Linked DNA regions of Caenorhabditis elegans. The protein of the gene in region 1 purifies or fractionates together with the protein of each later gene. This does not show direct contact. Each region holds a gene or a part of one and is shown on either strand. Other genes may lie near its edges. The genes, in order: ddx-19 and rund-1.

Region 1 (11,080 bases):
CACGATATCCTTGAATCACAGAGACAATTGCAACATGATCAGAAAACTTGTTTCCAGCAAACTTTCGCTGTGTACCACTCAATCGGCTGTGATGCTTCTCTCGTGGAACGAATGGAGTTGGAAATGACATTGCAGATGCCACGTCACACATCACAGATCCTGCACCAAGAGCAGTTCCAAGAATAAGCACTTTGGCAATGACAGGCTCAATTGGCATACGAGCGAGCATTTTTCCGAGACTTGTCAATTCTAAATTACGATCAAGAGCTCCCATCGCTTGTAACACTGCTTCACTTTCGACGACCATATCATACGGTGGAGGTTGAAGAGCCTTTCCAAGGAATTCACCGACGGATCCGAGACGGAGAAGTTTGATTGTCAAAGCGATTTGATGAAGAGGAATCCGAAGCATTTCAGCAGTTCCGTGATCATCCAGTGCTTCAAATCTCATCTTACTGCATAAATGAAAAGCGTATCCAGCTCTAACACGACCAGCGCGCCCTCTTCTTTGAATTACATTTGTCTTTGATGCCCAGACAGTTGCGAAATGAACCATATTGTTGTTCGATGTATACATTCGTTCCTTTGCTCTAAAAAAAAGAAAGATTTCGGTGATCTTTTTTAAAAATACTTACTTGCAAGAGTCAATCACATAGACTACGTCATCAATTGTAATACTTGTTTCAGCGATATTTGTTGAAACAATGATCTTCCGCTTTCCTGGGTAGTGATTGAACACTTTTCTCTGTTCCTGACTAGTTAATTGAGAATGAAGTGGAAGAATTTCATATTTATTAGCTTGGCCTGGAAATTAATAATTTTGATTGAAGTTTTAATTTGTAAATTTACCAAATTCTTGGTGCTCTAAAAGTCGATTGCAAAGTGTCATAATTTCTGCCCAACCGGGAAGAAAAACTAAAACGGCGCCATCCACTCCGCGGGATGCAATATCGTTCAAAATAGCTTCGATCACACCGAATGGAATATCTTTTTCAGAGATTCTTGACATTGCTGTTTTCAGTGATTCGTTGATTGATGGATCTGTTAGAATATTCATGTTTCGACCCTTATCATCCACTTCTTCATCTCCTTCATCATCATCTGGTGGAGGTGGTCCTCCCTTTTTCCGTTTCTTTTGATCTGGTTCCTCAGGCATATGCTGAAGATTGTGAAGAATGTCTTCCAGGTAGAATGCTGAAATTTTAAATTAATTTAAATATAACTATTTTTATCCAGAACTTACATTGTACAGGAAAAGTTCTTCCATGCATCGTGATAACTGGTGTCGGGCCAACATCTGGGATAGAGCTGAAGAAATTGGTAAACAAATCAGTGTCGATGGTGGCAGACATGAGTACCACACGTAGATCTCGGTATGTGCTAATCATTTCGCGGAGCACAATAAGAACAAAGTCAGTCTGAAAAAAAAAGATTTTTAATTTGATGTGCAGTTTCAACACTCACGTCAACATCCCGTTCGTGAATTTCATCGATGATTACATGTGAAATTCCTCGTAATCCGTTCTCCATCATTCGCAGCAAGACTCCAACAGTACAAAACATGATAGATCCATATGGCCGAGGAGTTGCACTATCGAATCGAACATTATATCCGCATGTTTCTCCAACTTCTTCTCCTCGCTCGTTGGCGACACGTTCGGCCAGTGAAATTGCAGAAATACGACGAGGTTGAGAGACGACTGCATTGAAAGATGCTCCATTAGAATTTTCCAAAAAACTTTCCAGTAGAAATTGAGCAACTTGAGTACTCTTTCCACATCCAGTTTCTCCTTTGATCAGTGTAACACGATTTTCTGCGACGGTTTGTACAATGTTTTCACGATACTGGGCGACAGGGAGTTCTCCACGTTGAGCTGTTATTTTGTCAAGTGCTTCACCTCGCTTGAAATCCTCTTTTTCCATTATTCTCTGACTAATTTGCTCCATTGACATCTGAATTTAATTTAATTTTAAATTATTCGCTTGAATCAAAAAACTTACAAAAGCTAATGGTTCCTCATCGATATTCGAAGCTCTCCATGGATTCCAATTCTGAAGAGGAGGTGCCCAGGAGATATTCGAAGCGGAACAAATTTCTGAAACAGGGAACTGCGCTAGTTTAACATCCGTGAGCAGTGAGGTAGGAGCTTCCGGAGTTGCACTCGTTTCGTTGATTTCTGGCAACTCAAGACCGCACGACCGAACATATTCTGTCACTCGAGTTGAGAGATCTTCTGGAATGGAAATCGCAATTTCAGGAAGCTGAAAATTAATATAATAAACTTCAAAACAACTTAAACTCAGAAAAACTAACCGTGCTGACTTTACTCTTCTTGATTGGTCCACTGTACGATTGCATAATATTGAGATGGAACATCTGACGAACGATATTCATTGCACACGCCGCTTCAGAAACTTTCTTGTTAGATCCAGTACCTTTTCCAACGAGATCTGTAAACATTTTCATTTTTTATTTGGATAAAAGACGATAAAAGAACGCACTTTTGTTGATTTGAGGAACAAAGATTTGGGCAGTCGTCTCCATTGTTCTGTAAATATTTTGGTATGAAAAAAATGAAGTAATTCTTCTAATATGAAAAACTTACTTAACGGTGTTTGATTCTCGAATTTTGGTTCCATAGTTAACCTGTGGAAGTCTCATTTTTTGAAGAAACTCATTCAGCGCTTTCTTTGAATTCTCCATCGTCCATCCTCCATGAATTTCTGATTTTAGATCAACAGTTTCCGATGCAGCAATTTCTTCTGCTTTCTGTGTAATATATTGTTCATGTGTGCCCTCGTTACGTTGATATGCATTGTTACTCCAAGGAAATCTTTTTTGTGGAATTGGTTGCTGTGACTCTTGGAACGAGTTGCCATCTTCTCCACCACAAAACATTGTAGCAGTTTCAGAATCTTGCCACGTGGAAGAAGCTTCAAGACTCGAAGACGTTAGAGTCGGAATATCACTCTGTTGCATTTTTCCTTCTCTGACTAGGTATTGGCAGAAATCTTGAGCAGCATTGGTAGCAGCATCCTGAAAACTTTTGATAAAAACTGATTTCCCAAGTAGCACGAACCTTTTTGTTTGTGGAATTTCCGAAAGCAGTGTAGCCAAATCCTGTGATCCGAAGTTCGCATTTGAATCTCTGCCTACCACTCCTGGTTTCACTTTTTGTATCGTACGTCGGATTTCCATACTTATTCTTTCCTAACCAAGCATATAGAAATTCTTTGACGTCTCTGGACATCTAAAAATAATATTTAACAAGATTTAAAAAGTCGCGAATAGTTCAAATAAAGAGACGAGAAATTAAACTCGGATATACAAGAACAGGATAACAATACAAATTTAAGTATTTTAATATCAATTCATTGACCCGTATTCAGATATTTCATAATTTAATCAGTTAATTTTCCGTCTTTGAGCAATGGCTTTAAACCGAAACCACGTTCTTCTAGATTTCGCTTCTTGTGTAGTTTGAGAAATGTGTCCATGTCTTTCTGTAAAAAAACAATTCAATTATCGAATTAATATTTTTATTTTACCTTGATAACTTCTTGAATCTGTCCACGAACTTCTTCGACAGTTTTCGTATCTTTCTCCAAAATATTCAAACTATTTGCTTGGCTTGTTTGAAGGAAGCACGTTCCATTGTATATCCAAACTGGATCAATATCCTTCTGAAAATAAGTTATTCAGTTTGCATTATTGTTTTACAGACAAACCTCTTTGATTTTTCGGCTAACTTCTCGAAACTTCTGACGTTCATTATCCAGATTCACACATGTTTCTTTGGCGTGATTTAATTTCGTTGAAAGGTAAATTATCTCTGAAGTTTTGTCGCGTAACTCTTTTTGATGGTCATGCGGTGTTTTTGCGTTGTTCAAAGCCATTCCAGTAGACAGGTGAGTGATCATTTTCTTTAAAAAATAACAATTAGCAAGAATATCATGATACTTGCAAGTTAAAAATCCTAAATTTAAATATTAAGATATGTTTGTCGTATGATCTGGTGCATTGTGTGCATTACTGTGTACGGTGTACTGTCAACCGTACCCATTTTCGAAATTGCTCATCTCAATTTCAGATGTTTTTATTGGCGTCGATCCTAATTTTTTGTTTGTTTATTCTATTTATCTTTCATGTGTGCGTCATTTTTATAACTTCAAATGTTTAAAATACATTTTAAAGTTAAATTTCATATATTTTGTGGAAAAATGCCCTAAAAAGAAGATAGATTTTGTACTTCCCTGACCAAACAATGTGTTTACATGCATTATCAATGGCAAAATAGAGAAAACACTTCTAGAATAACTATTTCCTACCCTGTCGATGAACCAAAGAACTATCTTCTTTCTGCAATCTCTCCCTTCTCGGGTTCATGTGTCGACCCAAATTTCGCCTCAACATGTTTTCTTTTCAATTTCGTGTTCCGATCTTTAATTTGTCCTGAATACTAACAATGAATTATCGTAGTTCTCATAACAGATCGAAAATGGCTGATTGGGGTATTGCATTCGACGAGCAGTGTCGATCGGAAGGGCTTGAAGTGCCAGAAAAGGTGGTCGGATTTGTTAATGTCTATGTGTGTTCGTGATTGTTTGTCTGTTTGTCCGTCCGTGTTCCGAGAGTTTCGGCTCTTTTCTCTTGCACTGTACAATTGCTTTTTGCTTCTACCTCGCACAATTTTCATGCTTCTTCCCTGTATGTGTGCGTGGAAACCGAGTGCATTTTTTCAGCGGAACGGAATATATTAATTTCTTTCAGACCGAAAAGGTGCAATCAGGCTCGGAAATGGATCAAAATGAAGAGAATAAAGGTAAGATTCATCGGAGAAACTTCTTTCCTAACAGTTATTTTTACAGGATCAAATGGATGGGGAATTAGCCGAGGAGGCATGTTCGGCGGACCAAAAGCCAGTAATGCTCCACCACCTCAAACTTCATTCGGATCAACTTCGGGAACCCGTGTTGGTGGTAAGTGTTTATATCTGTTATGCTTGTACTGTGTCCATTTATCCTTTTGTTCCTATTAACTTCCCTATCGCAATTTTAGGTTCATTCGGAGGCCAAGCAGGGGTGGATGGCCGTGGTGCACCACTTGGTTCAGCAGAAGAACTCATTGGAGGAGGTAATATAATTTCTGTTGGAATTCACAAAGAAAAACCTGCATGTAAACGTGGTGGAGGCTTTGGCACTAACCGCAGCATGGCACCTTGTCCACCAGCAATAATTAAGAATAACCATGAAGGAGGACGTTTTGGAGTTTTAGCCCCGAGAACGCTGAGTGGATCGATTCCGCAAACTTCTACGAATCTTGAAGATTCTACACCAAAGACATCCACTGGAGGACGTTTTGGAGCATCAATCTCTCAAGGTGGAGCATTCGGTGCAAAAACACAATCATCGAGCGTTGCTCCGTCTGTTGGTGGAGGATTTGGAGTGAAATCTCCGAATATTGTCAGCAACGATATGCCTAAAGTTCCGGTAATGAAATCGGTTGGTGGCGGATTTGGTTCATCTATGAAGTCACCAGCGACAACCGGAGGAAGTTTTGGTTCCTCTACAGTTGTAGCATCTATTCGTTCAGAAGAAAGTTTTGGAATCAAGTCTTCCGCTTCGGCTGGAGGGTCTTTCAACAGCTCTTCGGCATCAGCATCCCAATCGAGAACTGTGGCTAGCTTTGGATCGAAACCATCAAACGAGAATATCTCTAGCAATTCTTCTGCACTTTCTTCATCTTCAAGCTGTTTTGCAGCAAAACCAACTTCTACTTCAGCTGGAGGAAGTTTTGGAAACCAACCGTCTAGTTTCTCATCGAAGCCGTCATTTGGTGGTGCCTTCGGAGCTTCAACATCCGTCACAGGAAGTTCTTCGATGGGAGGATCTTTCGGAAACAAGTCCACAAAAGTTCCAGATGTTGAAAGCCTATCACCACCAGAAATCTTAAGAAACCCATCAAATACCTCAGGCGGTGCTTTCGGATCGAAACCATCTTTTGCTGCTTCATCGTCTGAACTTCCTGCCAATAAGCATGTCGTCGGTGGAGGTTTCGGTAGATCAACTGCTCCAACGGTCAATACCTCAGTTGGTAATGAGTCTGGGCGTCTGCCTTTCGTAGAAACACGAAATCCGAATACTGAACAAGAAACATCGAGCTCCGTCAGACCATATGGAGCGAATTTCAATTCAAAATCCGAACCTGCTCAAAAGAATCCATTTGGCGGAAATTCAAGCTCTACCAAACCAGAGTTCAAGGAAAATGAAATGAAGAACTCGAGTGGTATGTTTTTGGGTATAAGAATATTTTATAGATACCAAATTCCAGGAAATCCCGGGTTATCAAATGATAATAATATTTTTGCCAGATTTTTGGTGTAAGACTTGCTTGTTTGCTTGATATTAACCTACCCTTTGTGTTTCACCTAAACACGATGTAATTAAAATCCACGAAATTTCACGTTCTCTTTAACAGTTATCAATTTATCAATTTTGGTTTCAAAAAAGGTAATGCTTAGTTTTGTGGATTTTATTGCACGCATGTCTAATTTTGCACATCATTGCTTGACCCCACAACCAATTCTCCCGTTTTCCTAAATAAATTAATTAATTCATATTTTTCTAGTTCCAATCATGCCAGGACAATCACAACCAATGAGAGGAGGATTCCAAGGAGCGTACAGGTAGTGATAGCAGACCCCCTCGATAACAATAATTATGATTTATTTGTAGAGGAGGACGTGGATCAGGCGGAGGGCAAATGGATTTCGGCGCCCCCGGTCAAGGACAATGTATTTATTGAATATTCATTTCACGTTTTCTGTCTCATTGTTTATTTTCAGCTATGGGACGTGGAAGAGGACAACAAAATCCAGCTTTTGTTCCACGACCAAGAGATACACCACCTCAGTACGGTGGACACCAAGCTGCACAACAATTTGTGAAACCGGTAATTTATTTCATTGTAAGCGATCGAAATCTATTTTTATTTTAGGATTCGAAGTACAAGTTCACGAAACCGGCAACAGAAGAAGCTCATGAACAAGTTCCAGTTCCAGCAGATATTGCTTTGCTAAATAAGTTCATTCAAAAGGAGGTGAAGATGATGAAAGACGTTGTCGTTGACGTGCAAAGACAAGACCCAAAATCTCCTTTGTACTCAATCTCATCCTTCCGTGAACTTCGTTTAAAACCCGAAGTACTCAAGGCTCTTGACACGATGAATTTCCAGTTCCCAACTAGAATTCAAGAAACAGCTTTACCACTTCTTCTTATGGAGCCGTAAGTTCTTTCATACATTTATTTTACGGGGGAAAACCAATGGTGTCGGCCAACAATTTTGGATTTTAGTTTAAAAATAAATTATCCAAAAAGCGACAGTTTTGATGCTAACTAAAATATCCTCAAAGTTTTATTATAATCGTTATTTTTCAGACCATCCAACCTTATTGCTCAAGCCCAATCCGGTACCGGAAAAACTGCTGCATTTGTGCTCACCATGCTCTGCAGGATTGATGTCAATCTGATGTGCCCCCAGTGCATTTGTTTGGCACCGACTCTTGAATTGGCCAAGCAGATCGGAGAAGTTGTTGAGAAGATGGGAAAATTCATTGATAATTTGAAAATTCACTACGCGATCAAAGGAGGAAATATGGCTGCAATGAGAGGACGAAAGCTTACTGAACAAATTGTTATTGGAACTCCAGGGATCGTGAGTTGACTAGTTTATGAAATAACTAATGAATAACTATTTCATTTAAGACTCGCGACTACCTTCAAAAGTACAAGTGCATTGATCCGAGCAAGATCCGTTGCTTGGTACTTGACGAAGCTGATGTGATGATTTATCATCAAGGATTCACTGATATCTCAACTACAATCTATAAGTATGAAATACTGTTTACCAACATAATAATTTACTTGTCTTTTTTTCAGTATGGTCGAAGATGCTTCAGATTCTGTCCAATCAATGTTGTTCTCAGCCACGTACGACGAACCAGTGATCAATTTCGCAACAAAAATCATCAAGAATGCAATTGTAGTAATGTAAGTTTCACAGATGCACTCCCTTTCCAAATCGTAATGTAAGCTTGGAACGGTTTATTTACTCGTGTCTTCATTAATATTGTAACAACTCAGTGGGTGGTCCGCTCTTGAAGCACCATTGTGTCCTCTTCCTCGTAAATCCAAAACCAAAACAAACTTTCAGGTTGAAACGTGAAGAACAAGCATTGCCGAACATTAAGCAGTTCTACGTTCAATGCGCCTGTAGAGATTCGAAATATGCGGTTAGATTTCAGTTTTATAAAAATGCTTATCTATAAACCAATGCAATTTACAGGCTATCGTCAACCTTTACAGTGGACTCGCTGTCGCCTCATCCGTCATTTTCTGTCACACGAAGGCTAGTGTTATGTGGTTGTATGAGAACATGAGAGCAAGAGGACATCAAGTTGATGTTTTACATGGAGATATGACTGTTGTCGAGAGAGCTGATACGATCATCCATTTCAAGCGCGGCGACTTCAAAGTTCTGATCACGACGAACGTGTTTGCTCGTGGAATTGATGTAGCGCAGGTGTCGGTGGTGATTAATTACGATCTTCCGATCAAGTACACCGATGAAGGAACTCCGATGGTGGTGGATGGATTCACTCAACCTGATTGTGAAACTTACCTCCACCGTATTGGAAGAACTGGAAGATTTGGAAAGACTGGTATTGCCATTAATTTGATCGATTCAGAAGACTCGATGAACATGATTAATGTGCTCGAAAATCATTTCCGTGAGTAATACATTTTTTTGCAATGACTAAAATATTATTTTCAGAGATGAAGATCGCTCGAATGGATCCATCGAATTTGGTAGAGCTAGAAGCCATAGAAATGGCATAATCTACAACATTTCATACGTTTTACTGCGGGTCAGTGTTTCCCACTCCCCCATATACCAATCTACTTTTTCACTTATCAAATACAGTTTGCCCCGAATTTTTGCTTTCCTTGACATTGTTGACTCTTTTCCATTTTTTTTTATATTCTCATTATTTTATTAACCAAGCGGATACTTAACACTTCACCATCATCATCATCTCCTTTGTATTTCAGTTCTGGTACGTAAAATTCTCCATTTTTGTTACAATGTGTGGAGAAGGCTTTAGAAACAAAAACGGTTCTAGATATTCTATTAGAGTTGATTGTTTGTGAGTTTTCGTTTTCGCCTTTATCTTGTTATTTGAATCCGAATAAATATTTCCAAAATAAACTTTTTTTGCCCGAGTTCCGGGTTTACATATTCATTTTTTGTTCGTCTTCCCGCTTTTAATTGTTTCCTGCATTATTCAAATTCGTTGCTGCCGTTTGTTTGTCGATATGGAAGATAAACAATGGCAAGTTCACATCTTTGTTAGGAGGGAGGCCTGTTCTCTTCCTTCTTCCTTCATGACAGGTCACTTCTGGCCACAATGCAAACTCAATTGTTATCAGAAGAAAATGGACGGGACCATTGATTTATCTACACTCCTTTTCAACTGATAAAACAATGTTGTCCATCGAGACTGACTCATTACTCTTCCAAAATGAACCCTTTTATTTAATTTTTGTATTCGGTGCCAGTAGCCACTACGTTTTTTTGCTTTAGCAACGAAAATTCCACCGTTTTTTTCATGTGACTCATACATCTTGACTGTACTATTGTTACAACCATAGAAATATTTCTTCGAAATCGCTAAAAAAAATACAGAAATTCTTCTATTTAGAAAATAGGCTCATTACGAATTTATGGCGACTGGTCTCGCAGCGACCGAACAATTTCGAGTGTGTACCTTTAAGGTGTACTACTGTAGGTCCTCACAATTTTATTTTATCTTCGAGGAAATTCTCGTTTTTTTGCTTTATTTTAGCAGATTTTTACGTTTCTCTGCATTTTTTTTGTATTTTCTACTGGACTTTTTCAAGGCTAACACTATTCTGTATTTTAAAACCATTTTTTCCGTGAAACTTAGTTATTTCTTTCGCAAAAAGGCTCTAGCGCTATCAAATTCTATTTATCTCGTAGAAATAAACTTTTAAACAATAGATCGTGAAAACCTAGTTGGCTGCAATATAAACCCAAATCATTCACCTTCAATAAATTCGGTTCGGTAACGCAATAACTATTCCTCCTCCGCCACCAGTAGTAACAACAACAACACGGAAGAGGCATAATTATGGAGGCAGTAATCGTGGTTATAAACTCATATGTATCCTCTCTATTCCTCCGATCATATCCTCTGTGGCAATCTGATAATAATTCAGTACAGGATGATTGTTTGGAGGGGTTCTTCTCGCCACTTTATCTGTTTTCCTAATCTCTTTCCTCATTTTTCCTTCACTTTCTCACTCACCTCTTCCTTCTCTCCGGATAAATAAATATTACGGTAATATAATGATGGATGGTGTCAAGGTAAGCAGCGAAGAGAGGCGCAGAGACAGTGGACCAGCGATTTGTCATTGTGTTATCATTCTGATATCACAATGAACACCAACAACCAACCATTATTCATTGGCTCTGAATATATTGTTTCTTGATAGTTTCCATCTACGTTGTAAAGATTCGGAAGTTCTTGTTCAGAAAGTTGGCGCAGTTTTTAATTAAAACTGTCAGGTCGGCGGTAGTCACCAAAAGTTTTTTTTCGTCCTTTGAGAAGTAGCGCCGCCCGTTTGTGACAGAAGCGAGTCAGAGTTGCGTAATGCGAATCGAACCGGTGGTCTCTCTAGTCAGTAAACAATATTCTTGATGGAATCTGAATAAAAAAATCTTCAGCCTTGTTGCATTTGAATTGCCGCCACGAGAATCCGCAAAGTGTTTGCGTACATTCGCATACCGTAACCACACATAAAAACATGTTTTTTCTTTCGAAGCAATTTTTATTTTCCTTCTTTTTTAAAGTTTTAAAAACTGCTTTTTAAATGTGAAATTGGTTTCTATCTAGAAAATTTTAATGATTACTTGAAATTCAACAATTTTGCTGTAAAATTTTTTAAAATTTTCATTCGTTTGTCCCATTTAACTTGAGGTAAATTGTTATTTTAGAAT
Region 2 (9,858 bases), on another chromosome or scaffold:
TTCTATTAAAAGGATTAATTAAGAATTGAAAGACAATTCGTTTTTCAAGAGCTATGCTCTGTGGATCTGGGAATCAGGCGCACTGCCTGGTGGTGTTTCCACTGGGCTAAAATTTAAGCTAAGTCCTATTCGGAGGGCTATGGTGTGGCCAATACAGTGTGGTCGATAATCCAGTCGTGGAATGTTATCAAAAAATTACTTGCTATCAAAATGTAGAAAAATATTTTGCACACATTTTGTCAGTTGAAAATGCTTTTCTAAAACTAAAAAGAACCGAGATATTAGCCGTCAAAGCACAAAAATGTCATTGTTTAATTTTGAAGACGGCTGCTTATTTTCCAAACAAAAAAAACAATATGATTTTTAACAACTCAATCATCCACGGCATTCAAAGATAAGAAACCTCACATGAATCTCACAAAATACCGGAAGTGTCGCAAGAAACCTATGCGCAACTGTCCAGCTTTTCCGTAAATAGAGACGGGGAAGCTTGACAATATACAAACAAAGAACGAAAAAACCGTTTATTTTTGTCTTTCTCCTCTCTCGAATTTGTTTGCTTCGCCCATTTTACTGGTCAGTCTTGTGCATCCACAGTTAGCTCATCGACTATTTTTATTTTTGAAATAGTATTTGTTAGATTATTTGATGGCTCGACTAGTATAGGTTTTGATATTACAGGGAGCGGTTGACAATTGCCGGAAGGCAATCCTAATTTTATTTTATTCAATTTTATTACAATTGATAGTCGTGAAAACAGGCACGTATAGCAATAAAAATACAAGCAAAAAGACAAGAAATTGTCAAATGATCACTATCCCAATATTTTTTAAAATTTCGAACTATCGAAATGTTAAGATTTCCTAAAAGAAAAAAGAAAAATTTCAAATTGTATTTAAAAATATTAAAAAATAAAACAACTTATATTTAAAAATATTTTATTTATTTTTTTCTGACATTTGTTATTTGCCAAGACTATTAAAAAATTGTCAAACTCCCTACTCACCAATTTGTCAAACATTTTAAAGTTTGGCAATTTCCGAAAATGCGGACAAACTCAAAGTTAGACAAAAAAAATTTATTTGTTTTAATATAAATTCATTGAGAAGTGAGCAAAAGATTTACTTTTTTAAGTAATGTGTATGTTAAGTTGCTAAATAACTAAATAAAATGTTTTCAAATTTTCTTGAAACATAAAACTTTGTTTTTGATCTCACTATCAGCTTCATTATATAGCGTTAAATCAAATTTGGAAAGTTTCGACAGGTTTTTCTCATTAAAATATTAGCAGGTCTCAGATACTTCGAGTTTAAAAGTAAAACAACAAATGCATAGGCTTGAGAACTTTTAGGAAATTAGAAACTTTATGTTTGTGGCAAGTCTTAGCAATTGCTGAATTTTAAAATTTTCAGAAATTTCAGTAAACTGTCGATTTGCGAAATTTACGGAGAAACGGCAATTGCTGAACATTTTTTGGTTTTTCAATTTTGAAATTTAATTTTCGAAAATTTAAAAATGAATGCATTCATTAAATTCTCTCAGAGCCAACACGAAAAGTGAATAAATTCGCGCCACTCTTAAACCAACGTTCCTCACTTCTCAACCAACTTTAGCTTCCCACCACTTTCAAACCATGTTTAACCACTTCTGAACCAACTTTGCCCACTTTTCTACCACTTTTAAGCAACCAGTCGCTTTGCAACCAACCTTCGCCACCTTTCGCCGTTTGTAGTCTTCTTTAGCCAACTTCAACCAACTTTAGCCACCTCTCAACCAATTATGGCAAACTTTGGCCAACATGTGTTCAATTGTTTTCAATGATTCAGAGCGAGATAATCAGAATTTCTTAGCCAAAAAAAAAGCGTTTGAGATACAGAAAAAACCTCTTTCATTTTTACTTTAATCTCTCTTACCCAATTTAACATACCATACAACTTTTGCCACATTTTCCTACAAAAAACATCAAAAACGGAAAACAATTTCAAAAACTTAGTTGTGAATGCTTTTTTAAATAATTAAATAATTTTTATTAGTTTTGATGATATTATTAAATATATTATTTGACAAATGACAAATTCGGCAGTTTTTCAAAAACATGAAACTAAATCCGCCAGTTCGCTATTTCGGTTTTTGTAGAAATCGTCGTCGCGCAACCCTGGAGCATTTTCAAAGCCATATGAAAATTAAACCCCTCCATGTCGAAAAAGCTCTCATAATTATGTCCGCCCACAAGGATTTCGTTCGTCATTTCCAAGACTAAAAGCGTCCCTTCTCCATGCTTCTTCCGTCTTTCTCCACGTTACCCATGGCGGTCGATAACCAAGAGCGACGACGTGAGAGTGCATGAAGAACACGAGACGCAGTTTGTTGCCTCATTTCTCTGCTCTCTTGCGTGCTCCGTTATTTTTCTCCTTCTTTTTCCCCTTTTTTGTCCGGCAATCCTTTTTAAAAGCATACGTCATCTTTTTCTTTTTCAGTTTTTCTCTTCTCTGAAAACCCTTTTAGCAGAAAAACGGAAATTGGAAAATGAAAAAAAAGTAAAGTATATATTGTTTTTAATGTTTCGTGATGTAATTTATTTGTCCACTCCCATTTTTCATTTTCATTTTGTTTCAATAAATGGAATTTGTTCAGCTTTCAATTAACAATCTCAAAATAATCATCACTTCAAACAAAATTTTGAAAATGTACGTGTTATTCATTCGTAATAATATATAATTATTTTTTTTATTAATTTTTTTTCAACGTATTGTTTCAGGTGCCAGAAATTTTGCCAAAATGATGAACGAGTTGGAAGCCAGCGACTTGCTAGTAGAGTTGGGTCAATCCTTAAAAAAGCGAGCGTCCGAAGATTCAAAAGAAATTGTGGATGGATTGGATTTTTGTGAGTTAAAAGTGATTTTTGTTTTCTGAAATAATTGTTTTCAGATGACACAATGTCTGAAACTGAATGGAAAAGTGCTCGGTTGTCTTCTAGTCATAGTGATGATATTGGGTAAGCTTTTTGTGTAAATTGTGGTCAATGCAACAGTAGGTTCAAAAATTTTAATCCTGAATATCTCATTAAATTGATGTAGTCCAATTATTTTTAATGCTTTATTTCATCAAAATCATTTTTTGACTTTTTCCATAACTTTTTTCGAGAAGTTTTCAAAAATTTTTATTATGAAATTCGGTAAAGCAATAAAAAAAAATTTGACTGCACTACCTTTAACTGATAAACTCAGAACTCAATTTTTAGAAGCTTAAACGATGCATTACGGGTACAACAATTGGAAGAAGAGCAGGAACGACTCAATAACTCGTTATTTTCCCTGAGCTCCCATTTTGCGCAGGTGCAGTTCCGGATAAAGCAAATGAATGAAGCGGACCCAAGCGATAGATTAGTAAGCTATTAGGCTCAGTTGCCTCATCTCATATGTCTTTTCCAGAAGTTGCTCTCTGATCTTCAAAAATTTGCTTTCAAGGGTTGCACAGACATGAACGAGCTGCAAAGGCTACGAAGTGAAAGTGAAAGTGGAAATGATGTACTAGACAAGCAAAATGAACGACAAAAAGAATTGCTAAAACAGCTCCGCGAGCAAGTAGAAGACTTGGAAAGGACTGCCTATGAAAATGGAGAAGGCGAGCTTCCAAGTACTGACATTTTGAAGAAACAGGTTTGTATAAAAGTAAGAGTTTATGCTGAATTTTAATTTGTAGAAAGCCGTTCTGGATAAACTCCGCGAAAAAATCGAGTTAAATCTAGACATAGATAAAATGAACCAAACAGAAATACAACGGCAAGTAGATGATGCTCTGAAGCAACTTGTCAATCCGTTCAAAGAAAAGGGACAACTAGTAGACCAACTTCAGACTCAGATCACAGATTTGGAACGTTTTGTCAACTTTCTTCAGAAAGAGAATGCTGAAAATTCGAATCAAACTACACCGGTTCGGGTATGATCATTGTTGTTTTTCACTAATTTTCTAGTCAATTTTTTCTTTCAGAGCATGGGATCAACGCCGCTGTCTGGTGCCAAATCTAAAAACGGATCATTTTTAAGTGGAATCATCGGGTGCTCAACAGGAAGGTTTCAGAAAAATCAGCTGAAAAATACTTTGAAAGGAAATCATTATGGGTTAGTTTCTCAAGTTTGTGATCGAAAAATATTTACGCTTTTTAAATCGATAAAAATATTTATTAAAAGTTTGATACAAACATGTGAGCAAAAAACACCACTATACGTGTTTGCTCAAACCACAAGATACAGATCACGTATTTGCACACATTTATTGAGCCAAACTTTAATGATGTGTGTTTTTGACATACTACAAGAACTTTGGGTTTCGGATATTTGTCTGATTATAAAAAATTTTAATTTTCACTTTTTCAAGTTTTGATTATGAAACGAACAATCTTCAATTGGTTCTAGCACTGACAAAATTAAATTTTGCACTAACCACTGACCAAAAAATGTAACTTCCCAAATATAATTTTAATGTTCGGTTTATCAAAATATTTTTGCCAAAAAAAACACGATTTTATTGTTCAATTTCCCACATTCACTTCCATTATGCGAGCATCTTTCATTCAAACTTTTTGCAGAGACGAACGGGCGCATGTGCAACTAGCAGTAGACGCCACACAACAAGTGCTGGAAAAATACACCCTACTGACATTCGACTCGGCAACAAAAGGCCAATTAGAAGAAGTTCAAGTAGAAAATGACGTAGGGCACAAAATTCACAAATTCTCACATGAGGAGATATTTCATTTCGCAATATCACATTTCAGGAGGTCTTTGAACGATCTGAAGAGGAAGTGGTAACTATTGTCCGAAAGCAGCTGTGTCTTGCATTGAAAGCCCTTCTAGAGCATGGGATGCTCTCAGAAACAGTGGTGCACAAGCGGATACCGGGGTTAGGCTGTTTTGTCGCAAAAAGCTCGGCGGACGAGAAATCAACGTCATTGAGTCATATTTGGGATGTGATTTTATACTTTTATAATTTAAAAACTGGAAGAGACACCACAGATGCTCCTGTAAGAAAATTGAGTCAATCCTTTAAATTGGATCACGTCGGAGGAAGAAGCATAACTTCAAAACAGGTAGAATCTGTTTTTTTAAGGACGCGAACAAGCGAATTAATTTTTTAGGTTTTGCTGACAACAATTGAAAACATCATCTCGACTCACGCAAGATTAAAAAGATCAAAAGATGCGCATTGGAAAGCATTTGTCTCAGCTGCTTTGAATGAGAAAAAATTACCTGCTTGGTTGAGGTACGGAAGTCTTTTTTTCGTAAAAAAACCGCGCAACTTTTGAATATTTAGATCATACGTTTACCACTTTGTGTACACAAAAAATAAGACGCACTCCAAAATACAGTGCAATTTTAGATCATGCCGTTCCTCCTAGACTGAAAACCTCAGAAAATGTAGAAACACGTCTGAAATAAATATTCATCTTGACAAGGACTTTATCCGCTTGAAATTCCATAAGAATTTTGATGTTTTACCTATTAGAACTTTGCAAGACATTAATTAACTTGTTAGTATTATTGCTAATAATCTCGTACGAGTTCATTTATTTAGGGTGATCTCAAACAAAAAACCAATTATTTTATATCAAATCCTTGAGCTGCTACATATATTAATACCCGTCAATTGCCCTTATTTCAAATGTCCAAACTAATTAAATTTGTTTGCAGGATCATATTTCGAACCCGACAAGTTGTCGAAATGTGCTACAACTCTTGGAGTTATGTTGCAAGAACAGGTGGGTACCATCTTCTCTTTTTTCCATTTTCAACTCGTTATTTTCAGGCTGTGAGGAACTCTACACACTTCTCGAAGGTCTTCACAAATATAGTATTCACTTACCGGTTGACTTGGCTTTGAGGCCATTCGAACAAATCAAAGACGCATTTTAGTACTATAATATCAAAAAATTTGTAATAAGCATATTAAAATGACTGGAACTGAACAATCAAGACAGTTTAAAACAGGTTCGGGATAAAATAAATTAATTGCCACTTTTTTTTTGAAAATTGTTTTATTCAATAAAAACAATAAAATGGAAAATAAATTACGTTAGTACTTAAATGAAAGTGTTGAAGTATGATTGATAATTTACCCAAAAAGATCAGTGAGAACATTTGTAAGATAATTGTATGGAGTTGCTTTTTTGCACTGTGACCAGTCGGCGTAATGAATAGGGTTGCTTCTGAAAAATAATTTTTTATGAAAAGTCAAATTCGATATGAATTCCCAACGGTTGTCGGATACTAAAAAACGTTTTCCGTTCATTAATGTAAGGACATCTTGCGGGCCCAAAAGCCCAACCTACCCTGTGACATCATCCATGAATCCGGCTTTTTCCAAATCGGTCTCCACTTGATCCTTGTACTCTTTATAGAACTTTCTCAAATCTCGAACTAAACCAATCATTGGGAAACGAGCCCAATTTGAGAGAATTAGGTATTCATACTGGTTGTGTTGCTTATTTATTGGGCCAACTACTACAATTTGATCTGAAATTAGTTTTTTGTGATATGTGAAAATTAGCAAAAAAGTTTACATGGACACGGATCATCCTGCATATAGACATATGTTCTCTCGTGATGAATTATTCCGTATCCAAATGCAACCTAAACTTTCAAAATAATATTCTTCAAAATAATTAGTAATTAATACTCACTTTCTCCCCCGCATCTACACTTCCTGCTCTGAACTTTTCCTGCAAACTGAAAGCTGACGAATTTCCCGATTCTGCTTGGGGCATGACTGAAATACATTTCTTGTTGGGGGTTGATAAATTACACTTACACTCAGTTGTAGCGCAATACCGATTATGAACAGATGGAGTGTCCAGAGCCTGGAAAGGTATTGTATTCGTTTCGCATTGAAATTCTATAACTCGAATTTTTTGTTCTAATGAAACATTGTAACTGATATATTTTAAACTAATGTTTCGAAGTTAAAGGTGGAAGTCAATTTGTCACGTTTTTTAAATAAAACAAAAAAAATACTCAGAAATTTTTATTATGTTTGTCTCATAGAAAGTAACTTTTGGAGCACTTCTGCAGTACTAGAAAATTGTGAAAAAAATACAAATTGAAAAAATTAAAGTTTGAAAATTCAGTGGATGTTTCAATTTTTGTGATAGATTAGTGAAATCACAAGTTTTAAATGGGACTCGTCTGGAAGTAACCCTCCACCATATACATACTTTGCTCGTCAAAAAGATGTATATTTTTTTAGTTGTTAAAAAATCACTTTGTCACTTTTTCCCTTTTTTGAGCTGAAATTTGACAATCGTATTGAAAGAAAAATTCATGTTCTGTGTCATTCCGTTGTTAAAAATTTTTTCTTTAGTTTCAAAAAGTCATTACATAATACAAATAATGTATGACAGAGCTTAACACTACTTTTGTTTTCTGATCATTATGGTGATCTCTTATCACACACACTCACCCACTGGAACTTGCCATACAAAGCCCTGACGTCGACTTTTGGCGCGGGCAATAAACTGGCCAGATAATCCTGAGCGCCCGGTATGTTGCGCAAGATATTTTGGAAGAAGCTTGGTGACCTTGAAGAAAAATGAATGATGATTCATACTCTTTTGGTTTTTTCTAACTTTTGTAAGGTTGATTTGAAACAGACTACAAATACTTCTCAAATACATTCATTCCCACGAATTTTGGTCATAAAAAAGCTTACTTGTCCTTAATAAGCGGTGATCCACGTGGCAAACACGATCCGGCTCCTGGTAAACTTCCCAAAAGACCTGGCACAACAGGCATTCCATCTACCAAATTCATAGAAGGTAATGGGTTTTTCAATCTGGAATATTTAAAAAATTTAAATACACTCTATTAAAAACTAAGACAGCATTACTTTTTGGCTAGAGTGTTGTCTGGATTCTTCTGCACTGTTTGCAGGTATTTCATGAGACCGACCGATTGACTGAAAACATTTTTTTTCAAATTATAGCTGCTCTAACTGAAATTCTGTAAATATAAGCTTTTAATGATTTGAGGAATCTTTTTGCAAAAATTGTGATAAATCTGTAGAACCGACTAAAAAAGCAGTCACGATGCATAAATACTTTTGTCAACCAACTTACGTAGCCAGATCCTGAAACGGACCCCTATCATGAGTTCCCGCATCTCCAGTAGACAAACCAAATATTTCCAAAAACTGACAGTTTACAGGTGAGAACGAAAAAAAAATAATAATAGTAAAGAAGTAGAACGTTGCGTGATATAGACCATTATTATGCCGCATTATTATGACGACCACCACCGAAATAGTGTCAGGCGGCGGATATCGTCTCCTCCGTGGAAAAAGGAATGTCGGATAGGGAGAAAGATGACAGTGAGAAAAAGAGAAATCACTGGCACTGTCAGAAAAAATCCGGATTTTTTCTTTATAATTTTAATTGATTATTGCTTATATTGCGGCTAGTTTCGGTTTAATGGAAAGGAAAAGATTTTCAGAATTGAATTTTATGAGAAAAAATAAAATTTCAGATAAAAATTTGAATTTTGATTTCAAACGGGTTTTTTGATTTAGTGTTTAAAGGAGCTCGAGTGAATTTATCGTTTCCTGAAAAAAATGTTTATGATGAAAGTGTACGTCCGTACATTTCCCAGCTTCCAGTAGGGCGTCAAAAAAATTCCGGGGAATTAAATTTGAATCATTAACCAGGGTTGACCAGGGGTAGAGATTGACCAAAATTCACCGGATTGAACAATTTAACTGTAAGTTTACAGTCGAGCAGTGTTCATTTATTGTGGGTGTGCTATTGTGTTACGTAAAAACAAAGCGAGCAAAATAATTATACATTTTTCAAAATTGATCAAGTGCGAAGTAACTTTAGTTAAGAAACTGTTAAGAACATCCAACGGTGCCAAAATAACCAAATATTATAATACAAATTTTTTTCAATAACTGTGATTGTCAAAAGTCAAAAAGTGACAATTACTAAGTTTAGGCCACTTCTTGTGAGAACTGTAGCACTCGAACTCTAATAATTTTCGAATGTTACTTTTTGAAACTTAAATAAAACATAAAATTTGGAAACAAACAATTTTTCCACGACTTCTAAAAAAATAGCAAAATTTTAATACCATTTTTCAAAAAATCATATAAAATTCGGAATATTTATACTATTTTTTTATATGATTTTGTTTCATTGGTATGTCTTCTACTTACAACAACGGGACATTAATTGTCTTTGTATATCACAAAGTTAGGAGAAAATGTCTGCATGCCTGCTTGGACTAGCATTGCCTTGTGCCAGCACGCATTCCTGAACCGAGCCTTTTTTGAATGAATCGACCCCCTTGATCCTACTCATCAGTTTTGTGAACGTTAGAAAATTCGCTGAACTGGATTGATAAATTTTTTGGCATGTCTCTTTCCTGTGACACTTTCTCAATAGTTTCAAAAACCTCAAACTTCCGGTTATATAATATTATCTCTTCAATTCGGGAAAGTTGTGAACTTAACGTGTGAGAATCAATGTAGCACTCAAAAGAGGATTAGCTGAATACAATTACATGCAATCCCAACTTACGGAATACACTTTTGAATATTGAGAAGTTTGGGGCGGAATAACTCCCTTGCCCAACAGTTTTCACGTTATTTGTCAACTAAATATCAACAAACAATTGTAAGTTATACAATTTCCTCACTATCCTTGTTTTCAATCGTTGAGAACTGAATATGCTGGTTCCGTCTGACTCCGGTGGCAAAAAGTGAGTAGATACCTAACAAGGGAAGTCTTTGAGGGGGTCCGTAGATTTGGGGTTCTCATGCTAAAATTCCTACAGAAGAGTGTTAGTTATGATCTCTCCAAAAAATTTAGCT

Evidence for each region.
Region 2: the proteins of ddx-19 (region 1) and rund-1 fractionate together in Caenorhabditis elegans (co-fractionation; one large-scale study listed by BioGRID). This does not show direct contact.

Annotation. Positions count from the first base shown.
Region 1 is NC_003280.10:8,880,409-8,891,488, forward strand, and holds ddx-19 (RNA helicase), read left to right. Parts: upstream 1-4,490; 5' UTR 4,491-4,499; coding exon 4,500-4,565; intron 4,566-4,771; coding exon 4,772-4,823; intron 4,824-4,869; coding exon 4,870-4,980; intron 4,981-5,059; coding exon 5,060-6,286; intron 6,287-6,628; coding exon 6,629-6,686; intron 6,687-6,735; coding exon 6,736-6,794; intron 6,795-6,845; coding exon 6,846-6,952; intron 6,953-6,997; coding exon 6,998-7,284; intron 7,285-7,437; coding exon 7,438-7,714; intron 7,715-7,764; coding exon 7,765-7,889; intron 7,890-7,938; coding exon 7,939-8,049; intron 8,050-8,212; coding exon 8,213-8,291; intron 8,292-8,344; coding exon 8,345-8,789; intron 8,790-8,833; coding exon 8,834-8,898; 3' UTR 8,899-9,292; downstream 9,293-11,080. Other genes in the region: rha-1 (ATP-dependent RNA helicase A), read right to left, coding at 1-590, 636-804, 850-1,194, 1,244-1,418, 1,465-1,953, 2,002-2,262, 2,315-2,451, 2,503-2,549 and 2 more; T07D4.5 (P53 and DNA damage-regulated protein 1), read right to left, coding at 3,403-3,504, 3,550-3,684, 3,730-3,921.
Region 2 is NC_003284.9:654,678-664,535, reverse strand, and holds rund-1 (RUN domain-containing protein), read left to right. Parts: upstream 1-2,758; 5' UTR 2,759-2,778; coding exon 2,779-2,884; intron 2,885-2,928; coding exon 2,929-2,995; intron 2,996-3,241; coding exon 3,242-3,386; intron 3,387-3,431; coding exon 3,432-3,659; intron 3,660-3,702; coding exon 3,703-3,939; intron 3,940-3,990; coding exon 3,991-4,121; intron 4,122-4,588; coding exon 4,589-4,712; intron 4,713-4,777; coding exon 4,778-5,089; intron 5,090-5,137; coding exon 5,138-5,262; intron 5,263-5,690; coding exon 5,691-5,758; intron 5,759-5,805; coding exon 5,806-5,912; 3' UTR 5,913-6,059; downstream 6,060-9,858. Other genes in the region: lpr-7 (Lipocalin domain-containing protein), read right to left, coding at 6,112-6,205, 6,329-6,512, 6,560-6,629, 6,680-6,765, 6,808-6,856, 7,456-7,573, 7,705-7,827, 7,882-7,950 and 1 more; Intermediate filament protein ifc-2, read left to right, coding at 9,715-9,746.